Arabidopsis thaliana: one gene and its partner. The protein of the gene in region 1 interacts with the protein of each later gene in a pairwise test. Each region holds a gene or a part of one and is shown in the gene's direction. Other genes may lie near its edges. The genes, in order: KNAT7 and BLH6.

Region 1 (10,122 bases):
AGCATTACAATTATAGAGGTAGATTGAAAACGTAAAGAAATGGTTTATCTTAACCATAGTGAAATTATATATATTTATAGTCAAATATTTTGAATGATATCTTGTTTGAATGCACCATTTGCAAATGCTAAAATATGATTATGTCGATATATATATGCAGAGTGGCATGTAAGAAGATCGGAGGAATAAGGTTCAAATTTGAAGGAAATGGATATTGGCTACTTGTGTACGTGATGAACGTAGGTGGTCCAGGTGACATCAAGACCATGGCCGTTAAAGGTAGCCGCACAGGGTGGATCAACATGAGCCATAACTGGGGAGCTTCGTACCAAGCCTTTTCTTCTCTCTACGGTCAGTCTCTCTCGTTCCGGCTCACCTCTTACACCACTCGTCAGACCATTTACGCTTATAATGCTGCTCCGGCAAGCTGGAGCGCGGGCAAGACCTACCAGAGCAAGGCTAATTTTAACTAATTTAGGTCATATTCAATTCCGAGAAACCGGTTTATTTGAATATACGGTTTTGCCATTTGTTGTTGAGTCCGATCGATCGAGAGGTTGATCCTTTTTTTCTAATGAATAACTCCCTTTGGTTATATGGTAGTCATTAATTCTTGTATATCCATCATTGGGTTGAGGAAAATTTGTTGATTTTTATGTGTGTTTAAAATTTTTGAATTATCTTCTCATTCATATATTAGCATCAAAATGATTGATGGGATCATTGGTACTTTTTTTCTTATCAGAAAATGACTTTTCTAATTCAAGAGTTATCAATAAATATGACATAACGATTAGACGATATGATCATGATTCGCCAATGTATGATACTCACTTCAGTTTAATATAAAGATCGTTTGACAAATTTTGATGCGAATTAAGAGAGTTTGTATACAATAATAGTACATTCTTAGAAAATAATTGCTGTTTTATAATTCTGATCTATTTAATACTTAAAATTAAATTTGACTAGAGTAAAAATGAAAAATTTGTAAAAGAACGTTATACACAAACATTGAAACGTCAGTTATTTAAAAAATAGAAAATTATATATTCTATAAAACGTACACTTTACTCAAAACAATCTCACGCCGCCTACAGTTTCATACCCCAAGAAATCATATGGAGTAGCATAAAAACTATATACATATATACATAAATATATCTATCAAATAAAAGCAAACCTGTCCCTTCAATCCAAAGCCTTCACCAAGCTCTAAAAAGAAAAGAGAAACTCATTTCTCATGATCGACTCTTCCTCTACACTTCTTCATCGCATCTTCTCATCACCTCAACATTCAAACGTGAACAATTACTCCACCAATATCGAAAATGGTAACACTAACACTCTATCCTCCCTCTATTCAACTAATAATAATCGTATTATTCCTCTTCCTTCCCTCTCATCTAGAGGGTTCGACTTCTACTACTACTACTCAAGAAGCTCTCAATGAATCCTCAAGGCTTCTTGATCTCATTCTAAGAGATTACACTCTCAACTTCTTCAAGAACCAACATTATTCTATCAAGACCGGTGTTATTCGGCGTGTTCATCTCCCGTCTGACTACTCCGGCATAAAACTTGACGCCGTTAGGTTCCGGTGTGGGAGTCTCCGACGATACGGAGCAAAAATCGAAGAATTCAATATTGGCGTTGGAGCTATTCTTGAGCCGTGTGGTGAACGTCTTTTGGTTGTGAGACAAAGCTTGGGATCAAAGTGGTCCGATATATATTACAAAAACTATGATCTCTCCGGTTATAGACTTGTGTCTCCGGTTCTAGGGCTCTTAGCTTATAACGCATTAAACGATGTTGTTTTAGGGAATAACGTGAGTAGCTCTTATCAGATAAGTCTCCTCCTAGCCCGTACTAAAGATCCATCCAACGTTGATTTTGGGAACGTTTCTGGACCGTCGGTGGTAGAGAGAACGTTCTTGAATAAGCCAATGTGCGCTACTTTTGAACTTGATGGAAAAGTAACGCTTGCCGCCGAAGTGAAGCCGTTTGTGTGCGCCGTTAAAACCAATGGACATTTTGGTTTAGTGGTGACGGATGATCCAAAATCGAATGGTGGAGGAGAAAAGGAGATGAAGAAGGAGAAGATCGGACGGTGGAGGAAGGTTGTTGGAGGGCTTGTTGGGTCTGTGACGGTGGGGGTGGTGCTTTTAGGGCTGGTGGTGGCGGCTGCTGTAGTGACGGCAAAGAAAAGGAGAAGAAGGGCAAAAAGGGAAGAAATGGAGAGAAAAGCTTATGAAGAAGAAGCTTTTAGAGTAGTGTCAATGGTGGGGCATTCTAGGGCTTTCGTTGCTTCTGCTACAAGGACTTCTCCAGGTTTCATGGAATATGAGTTTGTTCCTAATTAATTAATTATATTTACGTGTGATTCCGTTTTTGTGGATTGTTTTCTTTTTTTTTTCTTTTGTAAAAACGGTTTTAATTTATGTTAAAATGCATGTTGTTGGGGGTTTTGGGACATATATATATATTTCGTTGGTGACAAGTAAGGTACGTATGGTGATGATTTTTTCTTTCTTTCACGGTGATGAATTTACAAGGTAACACCGCTAGTGGCCTAGTAGTAAGTAGTAACTATTAAAGAAAATCAAATGAGCAAAGTTACATTCAAAGTCATTGATAAACAATAAAACATGGTCATTTTTTACACCAAAAAAAACAACATGATCGTTGCCTACACGTTAATTAACGAGGCATCAAGAATTATAATTTGATGAAATATGCCGTCTGGCGTCTTCATAAGAATACAATATGTTTGATGAAAATCTACCTCTAATCAAATGGTAGTTTTTTTTTTTTTTTGAGGAGTCACATAGCTAGGAAACGTTTTATGCTAGTAATATCACACACGGAAACAATTACGAACCCATGTGTACAAGTGTTTAGGCTTTGAGACCTTAATGAAGTGCCCAATGAGAATTATTTTTAGGTCCACCAAACTCACAATATTATATGGCCCGTACATTAAATCACTAAAACTTAGTATCGTGTCACTAATAGTATCTCATTGTTCTCTGATTAATGGCCGCATTATTATAAGTTTTTTTTTGTGTCAAAAGCATTATTATAAGTTGAGAAGTCGTTTTCATAGGACCACAAATTGTTTCAGATGTGAGATGTCTTAAATCTTAGGCTTAAGAGAACGACAATTCTGTCCCTCTTTTCTTTGTTCGACCAACTCTGTCTTTGTCCCTCTTTATTTTGTTTCTTTCATTTTTCTATACGAACGAATATTTTTGATGTCATTGCGTAAAACAAAAGGGAATTTGTACATAACTACATAAAAAGGGAGAAATGGAAAGTAGTTTTTCCATATTGGTGAAGGCGTGCATTATTCTCTTTTTCATTTAATAATATGCAAAATCCTCTTTTAATTTGTATTTTTTATTTTTGTTTATAGAATATATTATGTGCTATTATTTTAGTTTTTTTTGTGTCATGTATTATTGGCATTATTAAAAATATTTGATCTAATCCTATTACGATATAAACTACATGCAACATATGCAATTACAACGACCAAGGATTCCATTGTTATGATGAAATATTATTTTAGTTTTTGTAATTAATTGCAGTTTTTTTTTTGCAAAAACTTAAGACTACTTGGATGGCTATTGGCTCCAATATGCCAAGCCGGAGGAAAACCAGAAGATTTAAGAATATATTTTTTTAAACGATGAAGTGGAAAAATAATTTTTTTAACGTCCAACATGTATGTTCAGAAGATTTGTAATTCTGAACGGAACTATTACATGACGTTACAAAAAACCATGCCACAAGAGTATCCGGACTTAACAACGTTTCACAACACATCAATTTTTTTTTTTTCAGTTTTATGGATATTTCTGAAATTCTAGCTAAAAACTATTAGTATATATTAAAGTTCATATATCAAACTATTGTTTGTGTGCTATATTAACTTCATATCAAACTAGGAAAAATATGAAAGCATTTTTCTATCTATCAAATAATACTGCAATTAAATTATCAGAGTGTTACTGTTTTAAGGTTATATGACTAAGAAATGGTGCATCAAAGCTGTATCACATTTTGTCCAAAAAAATTTAACTGTATCACGTAATTGAGTATTTAATATTTTAAAAGAATAACTAATTATATTTGTTCTTTACCAAAAGAAGAAAACAAATATACTATATTTCTATACTATTAAATAGTATTATCAATTAGGTGTTAATACTATTTGTTAAGTGGGCGTTAGAGGATTAGGTGTGTCTACCGGTCCTGTCGTTAAAGGTGGGAAGATATTTTATTTTCCTCATTCTTTTTCAAAATTTCAACTAATTTTTAAGTTCAAGTTGTTGATCACTTATTAGGTCTTAAATCATTGTCACGAGAAGGAAAATAAAAGTGTTTTTAATTTTTATTTTAAGTTTACATTTTATATACATACATATACACGTATTTATGATTTTTGTAAAGCACGTTGTTAACGTGCACTTTTTTCATAACTTTACGTCAAGGTATATATCAGCATATTGTGGAATCAAACATATATATAGTAGCAGTTTTCTAGACTAAAGTAATTCAGATTAATTGTAAAGATAACAATCACCGTATAAAACAATCAACGTCCGTGTGTTTGTATTCACATATCTGATGAAAATTAGTAATTCTAGTTTTCAGTCTTTCGATTAACAATACAAAAATAATACTTTCAATATAATTTGATCTATGTAAAAATAATATATGGTATGGCCGGACCAGACCCGTGTATAACAAACATTGTTTTAAATGTATTTTGTATACAAATAAGACAAAATAATCTATAAACAAATAATGTATATTTTTAGAAAAGAATGGAGTGAAAAACAATTAAAGGGGAAAGAAATCAGGACAGCTTTATATAGGTTGATTTCATCTGACAATTCTCTCTCTCTCTCTTTTTCTAATCATACGAACACAATCTGCTTCAAGAATTAGGGTTTTGATCAGACACAAAAAGTATCTCTCTCCGGTCTTGTGTCAAGGTTATGCAAGAAGCGGCACTAGGTATGATGGGAGCCACCGTAGGCGGAGACGGAGACACCGCGGTCGTGGCGGAGCAGAATAGACAGTTGAAAGGTGAGATAGCGACACATCCGATGTATGAGCAATTATTAGCCGCACACGTGGCGTGTTTAAGAGTAGCTACTCCAATAGATCAACTTCCGATCATTGAAGCTCAGCTTTCTCAATCTCATCATCTTCTCCGTTCTTACGCTTCCACGGCCGTTGGATACCATCATGATCGTCACGAGCTCGATAATTTCTTGGTACGTTTGAATATAAATTTATTAGTTATATTTTAAAAAATAATCTTGTTTGGTTAAATTACTTACAAGTTCTGTTTCTATCTTTTTTCATTTGAAAGTTTTTTTTTGATGGTTTCTAGTGGACTAACTTTGAATGAAGTTATGATTACTAACCAATCTCTGTTGGGAAATTATGTTTCAAACAAATTATGTTTTTTTCAATGATTTTCGTGTTTTACTTTTTACAAGATCGTTGGGAGTTTTATCGATCGAAGATGTAAACCTTTTGTCAATATATCAACAATTTCTATAAATTTTATAATTACTAATTCCTCTTGTGGGAAGTTATACTTCAAACAAATTATGTTTTTTTCCAATGATTTAAGTTATTGGTATTTTTTTACCTGATTTTTGTGAAGAAGTGGTTTTGTTCAACTTTCATGGAAATTTATGTATCTTCACACGAATGTTCAAATGTATAATACACACACATAGATGTAGATATGGTTTTTTGTATAGTTAGGTGCTAAATTTCACATAGAGTGAGTCAATGTTAAATGTCATTTTGTAATTAAATTGAAATTCTATTTAAACTTTGAATATTATCATGTTAGTTACGATTGATTTTCTACTCCGACCTAAAATTTGCAATTGCATTAAAGTTGGAATTGATATTGCAACTATAATTTTGGAATTAGCTTGTGAAATGTTCCAAAAAAATTCGGTTTTATTTATATTTATTTAAGTTAGGTAGAAAATAGGACTATATAATGATCTAACCGCTCAAAACACACCACACCAGAAGCACATATTTATATGTGTGTATGCATATATGTGGAAAATGTTTACACATTGAATAATTATATGAAATGTGAGAGGATATATAAAACATTTAACAATTATAATTAATTGGAAACAGGCACAATATGTAATGGTGTTGTGTAGCTTCAAAGAACAGCTGCAACAGCACGTGAGGGTTCATGCCGTCGAAGCTGTTATGGCTTGCCGTGAAATTGAGAACAACCTTCATTCTCTTACAGGTTCTTTTCTTTTCCACTTTTTTAATGGTATTTTTTATAACCCAATTAAAAAACATAACTTCATGATAATTACATGTTATTATATATACCACATAGCTATAGAATCAGAAAGTACTTAAGATATATATAATTAAAATTCCTGTTAAAAATTAGCGATAGTTAAAACAAATAATAGAGTTAGGTATATCTAAAGGTTCTTGCTGATCATACCAGATATGAACAACTAGTAAACATATTAAATGTAAGGTGTTGGAAGATGATCAGGAAGAGTATATTATATGCCCACACAATAAGAAATAGAGATTTTATTTGTGCTTATATAGTTATATTATATGATTAGTCTAAAGATGAAATTTCTTAATTATACGAAATTATTAAAAATATTTATTTTTGCACTGATGACCACGTAAAGCGTGGGATGTATTGATTAGGATTATTGTATGCGTAAGGGCATATCAGGCTTGAGCCTAAGTTTGGGCTTGGGCTTGACGTCTAAATCTTGTAGTTTGACTGTTGGAGTAACATTTCGTTTAAAACGTTCTGTATTCTTGTAGGAGCAACTTTAGGAGAAGGGTCGGGTGCGACTATGTCGGAGGATGAGGATGATCTTCCGATGGATTTCTCGTCAGATAATTCCGGCGTTGATTTTAGCGGCGGCCACGATATGACGGGATTTGGTCCGTTGCTACCGACTGAATCGGAAAGATCCCTTATGGAAAGAGTCAGACAAGAACTCAAACTAGAACTCAAACAGGTATAATTAACTAATATGTTATGATTCACAATAGTAATACAGTTATTTTACTATTTATTTTCTTGTTATGACGTTTGTTTATTTTTCGGATAAGGGTTTTAAATCGAGAATCGAAGATGTAAGAGAAGAGATAATGAGGAAGAGAAGGGCTGGGAAATTGCCAGGAGACACAACTACTGTCTTGAAAAATTGGTGGCAACAACATTGCAAATGGCCTTACCCTACGGTGAGTACTCTCTATATTTTACGAACAACAAATATAGTTTCCGTCTAATTGTTTGTTTGGGTTTACGTTTTCATGAAATAATATGATAATCATTATAACATGAAACAACAAATGAAGATAGATATGTAAATGCAAAGAAACAATCAAGACCCATTTTGGTTACACTCAAAGTCACAACATGCATTTTTTTTCTATTCTTCAAACATACTGAATTTGTTACTAATACTCAAAAACACTATACATCTCTCTCCCGTTCAATATTTGGCACAAGCCAAAAAGGTGGACTACAGTCTAAAGTTGCATGCTATAGTGGAAAAGAAATAGCCTTTGACGCTATCAGATCTGCACATGCATTGGCCTCTCTTCGTTGAAACTGAAACTGATTGTTTTTGTTTTCTTTCCTAAAATGTCATTAACAACAACAAATTTATAATGTAAAAAAATATGTGTCTTGAACAGGAAGATGACAAGGCAAAATTGGTGGAGGAGACAGGATTGCAGTTGAAGCAAATCAACAATTGGTTCATTAACCAACGCAAGAGGAATTGGCACAACAACTCTCACTCCCTCACTTCCTTGAAGTCCAAGCGCAAACACTAATCTCTTCTTACTATATTAGTTACTACCTCTACATATATTCATACTAATTACACTGCTAAGACATGCATGATACATACGTAATTCATGTTACTGATAATAACGAGGTGTGATCATTAATATCATGTACTTACTTAGCTTATTAGATCCACCGACTACTATATGATTTGTGCGTTGCGTGATTACTGGTTGTTACTAGATTGTAATTCATTTTGTTTGTATTGTGCATTCAAATTTATCTTTTTGGTAAGAACACTGATTTTGTAACGTGTTTTCCGTGGATGACTAGACCATCATTTGGAAATATAAAGTAATGATGCCGACAAAAAAGGCAGTGTTTTATAAAATATAAGCCATATCATAATATCTTTGGACCGATCAATGAAAGAAATCGTCCATAAAAATGGATTAGTTTAATTCCAGTTTAGATTATTGGTATTCTCAAAAACTAATTAACGTATAGTTTTCTAGTTCTTTATTTGATACCAAGATTTGTGTAACTTAATATTTTCAAACGAGTTTACAAACACAACTAGACCGAGAAATAGATATATGATGTATTCATTAAAAAAGAAAAAATAGCTCTTGAGATTGAGAACTTGGGATCTTACTATCTTAGAAAAGTCACCACATGCCGCCATCATTTGTCCACTACGATTCAGACAGAAGATCCGATCTGTTTATATATATATATATAAAAGTAAAGACATTACTTTATGCCTTATGGTAACCCCCGATTACTATAACATTAAACTACTAATTAATTTGACAAAAGAAGTTGGACTGACTGCTTAATAAATGAATGTTAGTGACATACGTATATATTTTCGATAACGTGTATGGTATTTAAGGGCAGGGGGATTTGTACATTTGGAGTTTTATATGCTTAATATATCAAATGTTGTATAGATCCAGATCTTTGGTTTAAACCTCATTAGTTTCGATGTCAAATCAATTACAATATATATAGAAACTTTGCAATTACAATATTTAGTACCAAAAATCGGTGGAATTATGTACATATGAATATGATATAAATCACTACATTAATTTGTAATTGAGATGTATCTGTATATTTATTGAAATGATACTATGTTTAAAGGGTTACCGATTCGTTAACGGGTTCTTTTGCTAAGTTAGCTCTTTGATCTCATAAGATTCGGATGCTTAATATAATATACGCATTTATAGTCGATAATTGTGAATTGTAAATTCAAAACAGTAACGTGTTTTAAGTGTTTTTTTCTTTTTCTTCGAACTTTTTAATTTTCACTATTAAAAAATAGTATGAGTAGTAGTTGACCAGAAAAAGGGTGGTAAAAAGAAAAAAAAGAGATTCTTTAATTAAAATTGCAACGAATAATACATATTTTAAATTCAGACACCCAATGAAGTGGAATCTCCTTTGTGTTTAACTAATAATTTCTCACGCCACCGCTTTCACAGATCTCTGTCTAAAATTCAGACAACAATAAACTATTTTAAACACACAAAACCACTACGAAACACAATAATTCATGTTTAGGGTGATCTGTCACATATTATATTCATATATTGAAATAATTTTTTGTTATTCCTACTAACACATTTTTTTCAATGACATTTCCACGAAATAAAATTTATAAAGTCTTCTTATATTTACTGAATAAAAGTTCTACATTATGCTATTAAAAGTGTATAAAGTAACAACAAATTTATACATAATAACAAGTTTTCTTATAAAAATATTAATAGCATTTTTTTTTATCCATAGAACTATTTTTATCATATAATTTTAAAAACGGGATAACTTGTTTATTTTATGTTAAATTTAAGTTAACTAGTTGTATAAGTACTAATGAAAACATTTTCTTAAATTCAATAACAAAAATTTATCACTACTCCAATTATCTACACATGTTTTGCTTAATTTTTGGTAATGTCACCTAAATTTAACAATTTCCTAAAATATTCATGAAAAAAAACTCATGGGTCACAAATCTCAAATAAGAAACGATGGGTGGTCAAAAGAAAAAAACTAAAAAGATTATTGCTTCCCCGAGAAATTGGGATAAAAAGAAGCAACACCGATCACAACGTCTCCCTATACCATCTCCTTCAGATCCACACACTCTCTCTTATATCTCTCCGGCGAAAACTTTCCGATCACCGACAAAAAAAAAAAATGGTTGCAGACGCAAACGGTTCATCATCAAGCTCATTTAACTTCCTAATCTACGGTAAAACCGGATGGATCGG
Region 2 (9,752 bases), on another chromosome or scaffold:
ATTGAAAACGACAGCTAAACTGTAGCAATGATTTAACAGGAAGAAGGTTTGTGTTTGGTGGTGGTTAATTTGGTTATCTTTGTAGAAGCTTTTGCAATTTTTGTGAATGTTGGTGGTTGTTTGAAAAGTCATACTCGTAGGATGTACGCATCACTCTGAATTTCGACATCTGAGTGGTTGAGACTGGAGATAACTTTATTTTATTTTATTATATCTAACTTGTTGCATGCACTATGGACTTCGTATATCTCTCTACTAACAGTCAAACACCTATACGATAACAAGATGCTGGTGTTCTCAAATTGAACATTTTGAAGCAATTTCTTTTAGGAAGATCCTTAAAGACAGGAAGCTGATTGAATATTTTGGAATTTCTGGATAATCCGAGATTTTAGATAAGTGACTTCTGTATAGCAAATCACGAAAAGAAACGTATAGCAGATCTAATGGGCTTAATGTGAATAAAGAGATAAAATGTAAACTGGCCCAACATGGCCCATCTTATCAATAACGATCGTAACAGAAGAAAGAGAACACAGATAAGGGGAAAAAGCCAAAACCCACCAGCTTAAATAAAAACCTTTACTTATCTTCTTTCTTCTCACTTCTCAGACCTCAATTTCCAAGCAGAGATGACGGTGAAGATAAGGCTCGCGCGTCTTGGTTGTAAACACCGACCCTTCTATCGTGTAGTTGTCGCCGATGAAAAATCGCGCAGGGACGGTAAACAAATCGAGGTGTTAGGCTTTTATGATCCACTCCAAGGTTCGTTATTTCTCCTCTATATACATTTCTCAATTCTCAGTAAAATTGAACACTTCCTAATGTCTCTGCTATCATGAATCTACTTGTACGTCTTCAGGCAAAGAAGATGCGGATAGAGTGAGCCTCAAATTCGACAGAATCAAGTATGTTTTTTTTACTTGTTCTATCATCTTCATATTCCTGTTTGCTTGTATAATTGTGTCAAGTATTTTAGGACACCAGTTAGATGTGAAACTCATGATTGTTTGATAAGACTGAAACACTAAAGAGTCTCTTTCTCGACATTATCCATATGATTGATTATTCCTCATGAATGTGTTTTCTTGTTTGTCTTTTAATCATCTTAATTCATTCTCTTTAGTATTCTGCAAGGTCATAAACTTGTTCTTGCCACAATGATGCTGCCTAATTGCTTAGATTGTGACAAATTGAGATGCTTTCTGTTGATTCTGTGTCCAAAACTCTATTTGCATAAGGCTACAATCCTTAATTCATTTGCTTCTCTCAGTCATGTTTGGTTGTTTCTACACCTAATGCATTTCATCTGGTGCAAGTTTTCTGTGAGGCTTGGTTTTGCTTGTATGATTGATTTGATTAGACTGGTTTAAAAGTCTAAATCCACACAGTTCTTGGTGTCTAACTAAACTTCTTTTTTATTTTGTGCAACTGTTGAAAGAAATTGATTTTCACTCTATGGTACTCGAATAATGCAGGTACTGGTTATCTGTTGGAGCTCAACCAACAGACACAGTGGAAAGCATGCTTTTCAGGGCCGGTTTGATACCACCAAAGCCTATGGTAGTGGTCGGTTCGAAAAATGGGCAGAAGTCTACGAGCCAACATGTTTCACCCATTACAGGTGAAATCTTGAACTAAGAGTGTTGATGCGTTGAGCAAGAAAGAGCCTTTTGTGTCTGTGTGAAAGGAGTTTATGTAATGTTGTTTAAGACTTTTCTGTTTATGTGAAAGGAGTTAATGTAATGTTGTTTAAGACTTTTGCTTTCTATGTGAAAGCAGTTTAATGTTATGTTGGTTAAGACTTTTCTGCAACAGAGTTTGGTGAATTTTTATTCTTTAATATGAGCATGCCTTTTTACATTTAACAATTCTCACTTTAGACTAAATAGGCTTTGGTAAGAGGCCCATATTTTCAAAAATAAGATTCATTCTCAATATCTGGATTGTATGCTAAAAAAAGGAATTAGGCCCATATTTGCTCAAAAAAAAAAAAAAAAAAAGTTATCTGCCTGAATATGATCTTGGACATTAGAACCTCGTTCTTACCTTTTATGTATATCTTTACTTCTACATGGTAGTAGTTATATAATCTCGTTGATCTTGAAATTAGTTCTTATTCTCATATAGGTCTGAAACTCTTATATTGCTTCTCTTCAAAATTTTGTTCCGTCTTTTTGGTTTCAATATCTGCCAAAATGTATTTGTATCGTCTATATGTGTTAAAAACACATGCAAGAGACTAGTAACTAGACAATAATCTATTTCAAACTAAATTGGTCTTCTAATAAAAATGTTATAGTTATGGAAAAAAGGATGTGTCTTTGGGACATTACAGCTCTATTGGGCCAACAAAATCTCTCGCTTCGTATCCCATTAGATTCTCTCTTTCTCTCTCTCTCTCTCTCTTCCTTCAGAGATGTTCATTGTTCGTATTATTACGGCATCTCTGGCTCTGACCCTCTCGCTGCAACATCTGTCCCTATTCAGACAGCTATACCTCTATTTTCATTCTACACCTAATACTTTATATTTCTTCAAAAATCCACCCTGATCAACTTCCTATCACTATCTAAGTCATTCTCATTATCTTTGTGTTGTTGCTCTCAAGTCTCGCCCATGGAACTAACGATTCTCTCAGCCTCTAATCAGTATTGGACCCTAGTCTTAAAGATTATAGTAGTTACCAAGTTAGGACTTAGGACTTAGGATATAGACTTCTGTCAAACAAGAAAGTGAATGCTAAGTTTAGAAGCATTTGAAAGAAAAAGTACTAATCCATAAATATCTACAAGTTGTTTCCAGGAAAAGACAAAACTCAGTGGGGAAAACGAGCACTTATGGTGTTTACAAAATGAAAATAAAAAAGAAGAAAAAGTTGTGTTTGTTATTTTTTGGGACCCTTATTTCTTTAATAGTTGCATAGCCTCTGGACGACCAGAGTCCACGAATGTATAATCAGATACCAAAAAAGTATGAAAGAAATATATAAAGAAAAGGAAGAAGAAACAATCATGGCTTGGCTTACTTAAAAAGTAAAGTAGCTAATACTCTTAATCAAAACTCACATAATAAACATTAGTTATGTGTTTATAATGATAAGTTAATGACCTATTCATCAGAAAAACAAGTTGTGATATATATACTTAATCAAAATTCACCACGATCTACTAATCTGCTAAATTTTTATTGTTTACTTGCAAAATAAACTATATAACTCAACACTTCCGAATTTAAATTTAAATTTAAGATGACTTTATGTCAAGAAGCTAGTAGCATCTTTGATTCTTTGTACTTTTCAACTTAAGTAAAGAAAATAGAAATGTGATTATATGGAGGATATTGATTTAATCAATGTGTAATTAAGAGACAGAGAGTGATAAGGATTGGGATTAAGATTAGGTTTAGGATTGGGAGAAAGATGAAGAGAGAGGGGTTTAGGTCGACCAACTGGTTGTTAAAGATAGAAACTCCTTAACCATACATTTATATAACATTTTCACAATAATTTTCTTCTCTTTACCAAAGACTTGACTCCAGGAATCAATAAGCAAGAAGCAGGAGGTTCAAGCACCAACCAGATTATGGCTTTCTGAAGCAATATCTTCAGAAAACAAAATAAAGTTTTTATTTGATTTTCTTATTACCATATTATATACTATTAAATAAGAAATTCAAAGTTTTTTTTTTCCATTCTTTCTTTCTTCCGGAGGAGGGAGAGTATGATATGGGTCTTTCACGTGTGACATTGATGAGATGATGAATTCAAATTATATCTCATACCAAAAAAAAAACACAACCAAGAGAAAGAGGCGTAACCTTCTGATTTCTTTCTTTTAAGATATCAATAAAATCTTTCACATTTTCTAATTTTTAATTCTTTTCAAGATTTTGTTGTCTCCTTCAACAATCCATCAGAAGTAGCAGTTTGGTTTCCAGGTAATTTACTAATCTTTTTATTTCTATACAATTCTTCTTTTTTTTTTGTTGTCTATGGATTTGGCTTGCATCTCCATAATTGCATGCATAACCATATATTCAAGACATGTTGAAATCTTACATGTTTCTTAGCAATACACTGATTATATGGATCCTGCTCTGTTTCAATTGTTTTTGAATCTGTCTTTAATGTCAAGCATTTCCTCCATAAGGTTAAGTTCTTACGACCTGATCAGAAAACAAGGGACTATGGAACTCAAGTGAGCCAAAAAGAACACTCCATTTCGATGGAGAATTATCCAGAAACACAGTTTATTCCCGGAGATTCAATGATCCAGAATGCTATAGTTTCTTACTCTGAGGAATCAGCCGGTAGAGAAAGAAGAACTGAAGCTAACAATGTCTCAGCCTCACAAGAGAGGCAAGCATTGTCCAGATTTGGGGGAGTTCCACAAATGCAGAACATTGGTCAAGATTTCGGTTCTTGGAGAGATCAAGCGAGTGACAGGAACGGTTTCCAGCTAATGAGCGCGATGGCAGGTGCCACGGGGATTCTTCAGACCGGTCAGGGACTGTCCCTTAGCCTTGGTTCACAGATTCTTCCAGGAATTCATCAGATAAGCCATCAAAATATGGCGCCGAGAGGCAATGAGTATGCAACACAGAGTTTTCCGGGCGGGAATCAGAACTTGGATGTTGTGAGAACAATTCCCAACTCAAAGTATCTTAAGGCGGCTCAACAGCTTCTAGATGAGGCTGTTAATGTAAAGAAAGCTCTAAAGCAGTTTCAGGCAGAGGGAGATAAAAACAATGAGAACCCTCAAGAACCGAATCAGAGCACTCAAGACTCGAGCACGAATCCTCCTGCGGACATCTCTCAGTCGGAGAGACAAGAAATGCAGAGCAAGTTGACAAAACTCTTGTCAATGTTGGATGAGGTAATAACTTGAGACCTAATCTTCTTAATTTGATCATGTGATGGTTACCTTTTATAGGCCTTTTGTTATAATATTTTAAATGCAAAAAAGCATACATTTAAATAAATTGCAGCCATAATGTTGTTACATTTGGTATATATAGGATATGTTGAATATTTAAGAAAATGAGATATTTCTTGATTTTGGTAAAGGTGGATAGAAGATATAAGCAATATTACCAGCAGATGCAGATAGTTGTATCCTCGTTCGATGTGATAGCTGGTTATGGAGCAGCTAAGCCATACACAGCACTCGCCCTTCAAACAATTTCTCGCCATTTTCGTAGCCTAAGGGATGCGATATCCGGACAAATCCTCGTGCTACGTAAATGCCTTGGGGAACAACAAGATGGATCAGATGGGAAAAGAGTTGGGATTATAAGCCGGCTTAAGTACGTTGATCAACATTTAAGACAACAAAGAGGTTTTATGCAACCTCAAGCTTGGAGACCTCAACGCGGTCTACCTGAAAACTCTGTTTTGATTCTCCGTGCTTGGCTCTTTGAGCATTTTCTTCACCCGTAAGTCTCCCTTGAATCTTATCTCCACACATTTTCTTCATAAATAGTGATGATTACTGTTTGAAAACATGAATAGTTACCCAAAGGATTCTGATAAGATCATGCTAGCAAGACAAACGGGCTTGAGCCGCGGTCAGGTAAGGAATGTTTTATTTGAAGATTGTTTCTTTCTCTTCATAGTATAGTTTATTTATTGATTGTTGTGTGTTTTATGTTTGTAAAAGGTTTCAAACTGGTTCATAAATGCACGAGTGCGTTTATGGAAGCCAATGGTGGAGGAGATATACAAGGAGGAATTCACAGAGAATGATTCCAACTCGTCTTCCGAAAATACACCGAAAATGTCTGAGATAGGACCTGTTGCTGCTGATGATGAAGATCGAGCTCGAGAGTTTTCACAAGACCAGACCAAACCGGACCATGGACATGGATATGGCGAGGAAACTCGTGGCATGGTCCAAGGCAGTCATATGGATGGTCGCCGGTTCATGGCAGTTGAGCCTACATATCATGTGGCTGATACGTCAAGATTGGGTCGTGGTGATGTGTCCTTGACTCTAGGGCTTCAAAACTCTCAAGGACAGGACAATGTTGTGGCTATGTCTAGTGAGGCATACAACAACTTTTCCGGGGTGGATATTTACGAGAATGCCATCCCGGGAGATGAAATGGAGTATGTAAACCCCGGAAGTCGCCAGAACCGGATAAATTCTTCACAATTGGTACATGATTTTGTAGCTTGAAGAAGTAAGCAATGGAGAGGAATAAAGCATAGGTGTGATGAACTTATGATCAGTCTCAATTCTGTAGTGGAAGAATGTTGGTCAGAAGAAAAAGTTTTAGAAATATTTGTATAAAGTAAACATTCTTTTGTACAAGAATATAAGTGAGGTTAGGTCATTGGGACCAAACAGAATATGGTAAATGCAATTTGAGATCTGCAAGAGATGGACATTACACTGTAGACTTATTATCTTATCACATCTACGAAACTGCAACGTTCCCAATTCTCTTCTCTTTTTTTTTGTCTGGCACATATACAATCTGTATCCGTTTTCAGAATTAATCGAATATTTCAATATTAATTTTGATCATAAGGATTCTATCAGATAAATTGTAATATTCATCTAATGATGACTATTCACCAAATTTACATTCTGCATGATAGCAAAGAGCACTATCTAATCATTAATTTACTAGAAAACATATCTTGAAACTTATATATATGATTATCATTCAAACTTATTGCAGTGTTAGTATTTAGGTTTACATATATTATACATCTCAGAAAGTCTGGCATCTATATATAGTCGATCGGTGATATGCATGATCAGTTGGGAATAAGCTTGAAAGGAGGTCTCACGAGCTTTGGTTTAGGACTGGAGTGGCCATAGTCTCTTGAATTCATTCTCAGAATTCTCTCATGCTCATGTATTCTTCTTTCTACTACCTGTCCACAAATAGAATGTATTCACCAACGTACAAAATTGTTCTTGAAATCATATAACTACGATCTTGATTATCAATTTGTTCGGTTTTTTACTAAGTAAAGATATACAACGCACGGTAGTTGGCAACTTTTTTTGGAGTTAAAACGAATACCTCGGGATGATCATCTTCTTGGCTATAGATTAAAATGGATGATCGGCCTACAAAAAAGAAAAAAAAAAGAGACTTAAGCTTGTCTATTCTTTATATCCAAGATTAATCAATCCAAATAACACTAACGTAACATACTATGTCGTTAATTTTCTCCTTTAGTCGTCATTAACACACATGTGGAGAGCACAAGCTCTTAATGTTATTATCTTACTTTCTAAAAGACTGATCTCAGTAGGAGGCACATGAAGTTGCAGAGAAAAGCTGCAAACAAAGGAATATAAATATGTAGATAGAGAGAGAGAAAAAAAAGTAAGAAACAAACCTGCAGAACAGAGAGCAAACGCTGAAGCTGAAACTAGAAGAAAGATGATGAAACCTAGTTTCTTCACCAATGGCAACAAACCCATCTTCTTTCTCCTTTCAATTTTTGATGTGCCTTAAGCTGTATCTTGTGTATTTAGATACACGTACCTTATCAAAAAAAAGAGAAGCCAATGCGTTTGGTATATCACTATATATAATCTCTAAAGAAATAACACGATTAAAAGTTAACTAATTTGTTTAGCCAACGTGAATGCTTTAAATAAAAAGCAACAATAAAAACCGGTTTAAATAGAGATTAGCTTGAGTTTCAAAATTAGATTGTATCAATTACAAATAAATAAAAATAGTAAAATACCATAACAACAATTGATTTATCCATCATTTAATTAATGCAAATATCTCTTAATGCTTTTAATTAAAAAAATTGTTCATGGAAATGGTGGGATTGGAGAAAAAGTTGAAAGGAGACTACTTTCCTATTGTTGGCCACAATAAGTCTAAAGAGGTTAGTGACCTGATTATTTAATATGAGTGCCTTCATTATCATAACCCAATTAAATTTACCAAATCATCATAATTATATTGTAGAATCCTTGAAGACTAGGTATTCAATATCGGTCAAAGTTCCATTCCTATTCTCCAATCAAGAGATATCGCTAGCTATAACCAACTGAATAATGTACGATTAGGCCTCTATAAATCTGATAGTGATATACTATATATGATACACTACTTCGTTTAACTCAAATTAATCGATCATAACATACTTACTGAAAGATAGAGTCATAAATTTTTCTCATAATTTTTTGCTAAAAAGTGTTAAACTTAAATGAATTGCTGATTGAGATTATGGAAAAAAGAGAACAAAGTTGTTTAAACTTTGCTTCGATGCACTGATTCGTCACACAATGATAAATTAAATGGATTACTGATTAATTGAGATTATGGAAAGAGAACAAAGTTGTTTGAACTTTGCTTTAATGAACTGATTCGTCACTATAATTAATGTTCGACGTATTATTTTATGGTTGCACATAAAAAGGAGTAAAGATGATGTAGTGGATGATGACCGTACCCTCACGATTCTTAATTTCAGTTTTGTTTGTTTTATTTATTTATTTTTGTTAAAAATTTCAGTTTTGTTTTGTCACTAATTTTTTTAAGGCTGGTATGAGTGCACGTCCTAACAAGAAACCACAACTCATTTAGAAGAAAACCGGCCTAATTAATTTTTTAAATGGAACCAAATTCTGGATTAGAATGTTATAGATAGCATAATTTATCTTGTTAAACACCGCTATATATTTTTCTATTACAAAATGAGAGTCAAGCTGTATATTAATACAAAACAATCATAGTAAACCTGTTGGGCCGGTTAAACTCTTGAATGGGCTTCGTAGTTAGTTAGTACACGTAATAGACATTAGAATCAACAACATACTGTACCATTAACATTTGCCTCGGGCCTATGTTTTAACTTACTTGTGAGGCTTTATAATTGTTTTGTGCTTATTTATAAAAGGTTGGGCTTATATTAAGATGTTGGGCAAAGCTCTCTCGATAGAAACTTGCACCAAAACTTTAAATCCGGTATGAACGTGTGTTGCTGACAAAGTTAATACATGTAGATAAAATCAAAGATTTCTAGACTTCACGGGCTTTTAGGTATCCTTTCGAAGAAGTAGGAATTAGAGTTTGGTGTAGGGTTCTACTCATTTATATGGACTTGTTACTTGTAACATAGAGTTTAGACGAAACCATTCAACTAATACATTATACATGTATGGTTTCTCGACTCTATGTTAGAGTCTAAATACACGAGTGTGTGACTTTCACAATAAAGAGTTTAAACCTTAGAATTGAAATTTCGATTCCGAACTAATTAACAAGAAAATACTTGAACTCGAAGGAAAATTCTGTTTTGAGTATCGTCGGCTATGACTTTTTACTTCCTAGTACATAAATTATAAATTTTCTCAATAAACCATAATACTATTCGAATGAGATTGGTTTCTAAAGGACTCTCTTAGCCGCCCCTGCTTTTCTTGTCTCGTCGTGCAATTCCTTTGGAGCGTTTTGAATATTAATAAGGACTTTTCACATCTATGTTAGTCATTATTTTTTATTTATTTATTTTTATCTTATTTTTTCTTGTCAATAATACTGAAAGATTTCTATTAAGACTACGCATCAAAAGAGTTCATGGAGAAAATGTTGTTTCTAAATTAGGCCTTGAAAATCGGTGGCTTCCAAACCAATAGTTTTTAAAAAAACAATTATATAAATGTGGAGAATCTAACTATCCAGCTACAATAATGGTAACTAAATTTTATGCAGACATTTGAGGTTCGAAGCCTAAGCTACGCTTGGATTCAGGTTTGGAACCTAAC

The links.
Region 2: the proteins of KNAT7 (region 1) and BLH6 interact in a two-hybrid assay, tested with the Arabidopsis thaliana proteins (2 studies listed by BioGRID, with this or other methods).

What each region holds. Positions count from the first base shown.
Region 1 is NC_003070.9:23,332,462-23,342,583, forward strand, and holds KNAT7 (homeobox knotted-like protein), read left to right. Parts: upstream 1-4,705; 5' UTR 4,706-5,006; coding exon 5,007-5,288; intron 5,289-6,186; coding exon 6,187-6,307; intron 6,308-6,861; coding exon 6,862-7,061; intron 7,062-7,155; coding exon 7,156-7,287; intron 7,288-7,746; coding exon 7,747-7,887; 3' UTR 7,888-8,231; downstream 8,232-10,122. Other genes in the region: EXPA18 (expansin A18), read left to right, coding at 161-473; AT1G62981 (transmembrane protein, putative (DUF1191)), read left to right, coding at 1,332-2,363; NRS/ER (nucleotide-rhamnose synthase/epimerase-reductase), read left to right, coding at 10,049-10,122. UniProt on the Arabidopsis thaliana protein: May be involved in secondary cell wall biosynthesis.
Region 2 is NC_003075.7:16,526,973-16,536,724, reverse strand, and holds BLH6 (BEL1-like homeodomain 6), read left to right. Parts: upstream 1-3,362; 5' UTR 3,363-3,939; exon of another isoform or gene 3,940-4,151; 5' UTR 4,152-4,226; coding exon 4,227-4,877; intron 4,878-5,068; coding exon 5,069-5,436; intron 5,437-5,512; coding exon 5,513-5,573; intron 5,574-5,660; coding exon 5,661-6,179; 3' UTR 6,180-6,379; downstream 6,380-9,752. Other genes in the region: SSR16 (small subunit ribosomal protein 16), read left to right, coding at 633-765, 863-908, 1,479-1,641; AT4G34600 (uncharacterized protein), read right to left, coding at 6,767-6,886, 7,039-7,085, 7,361-7,445.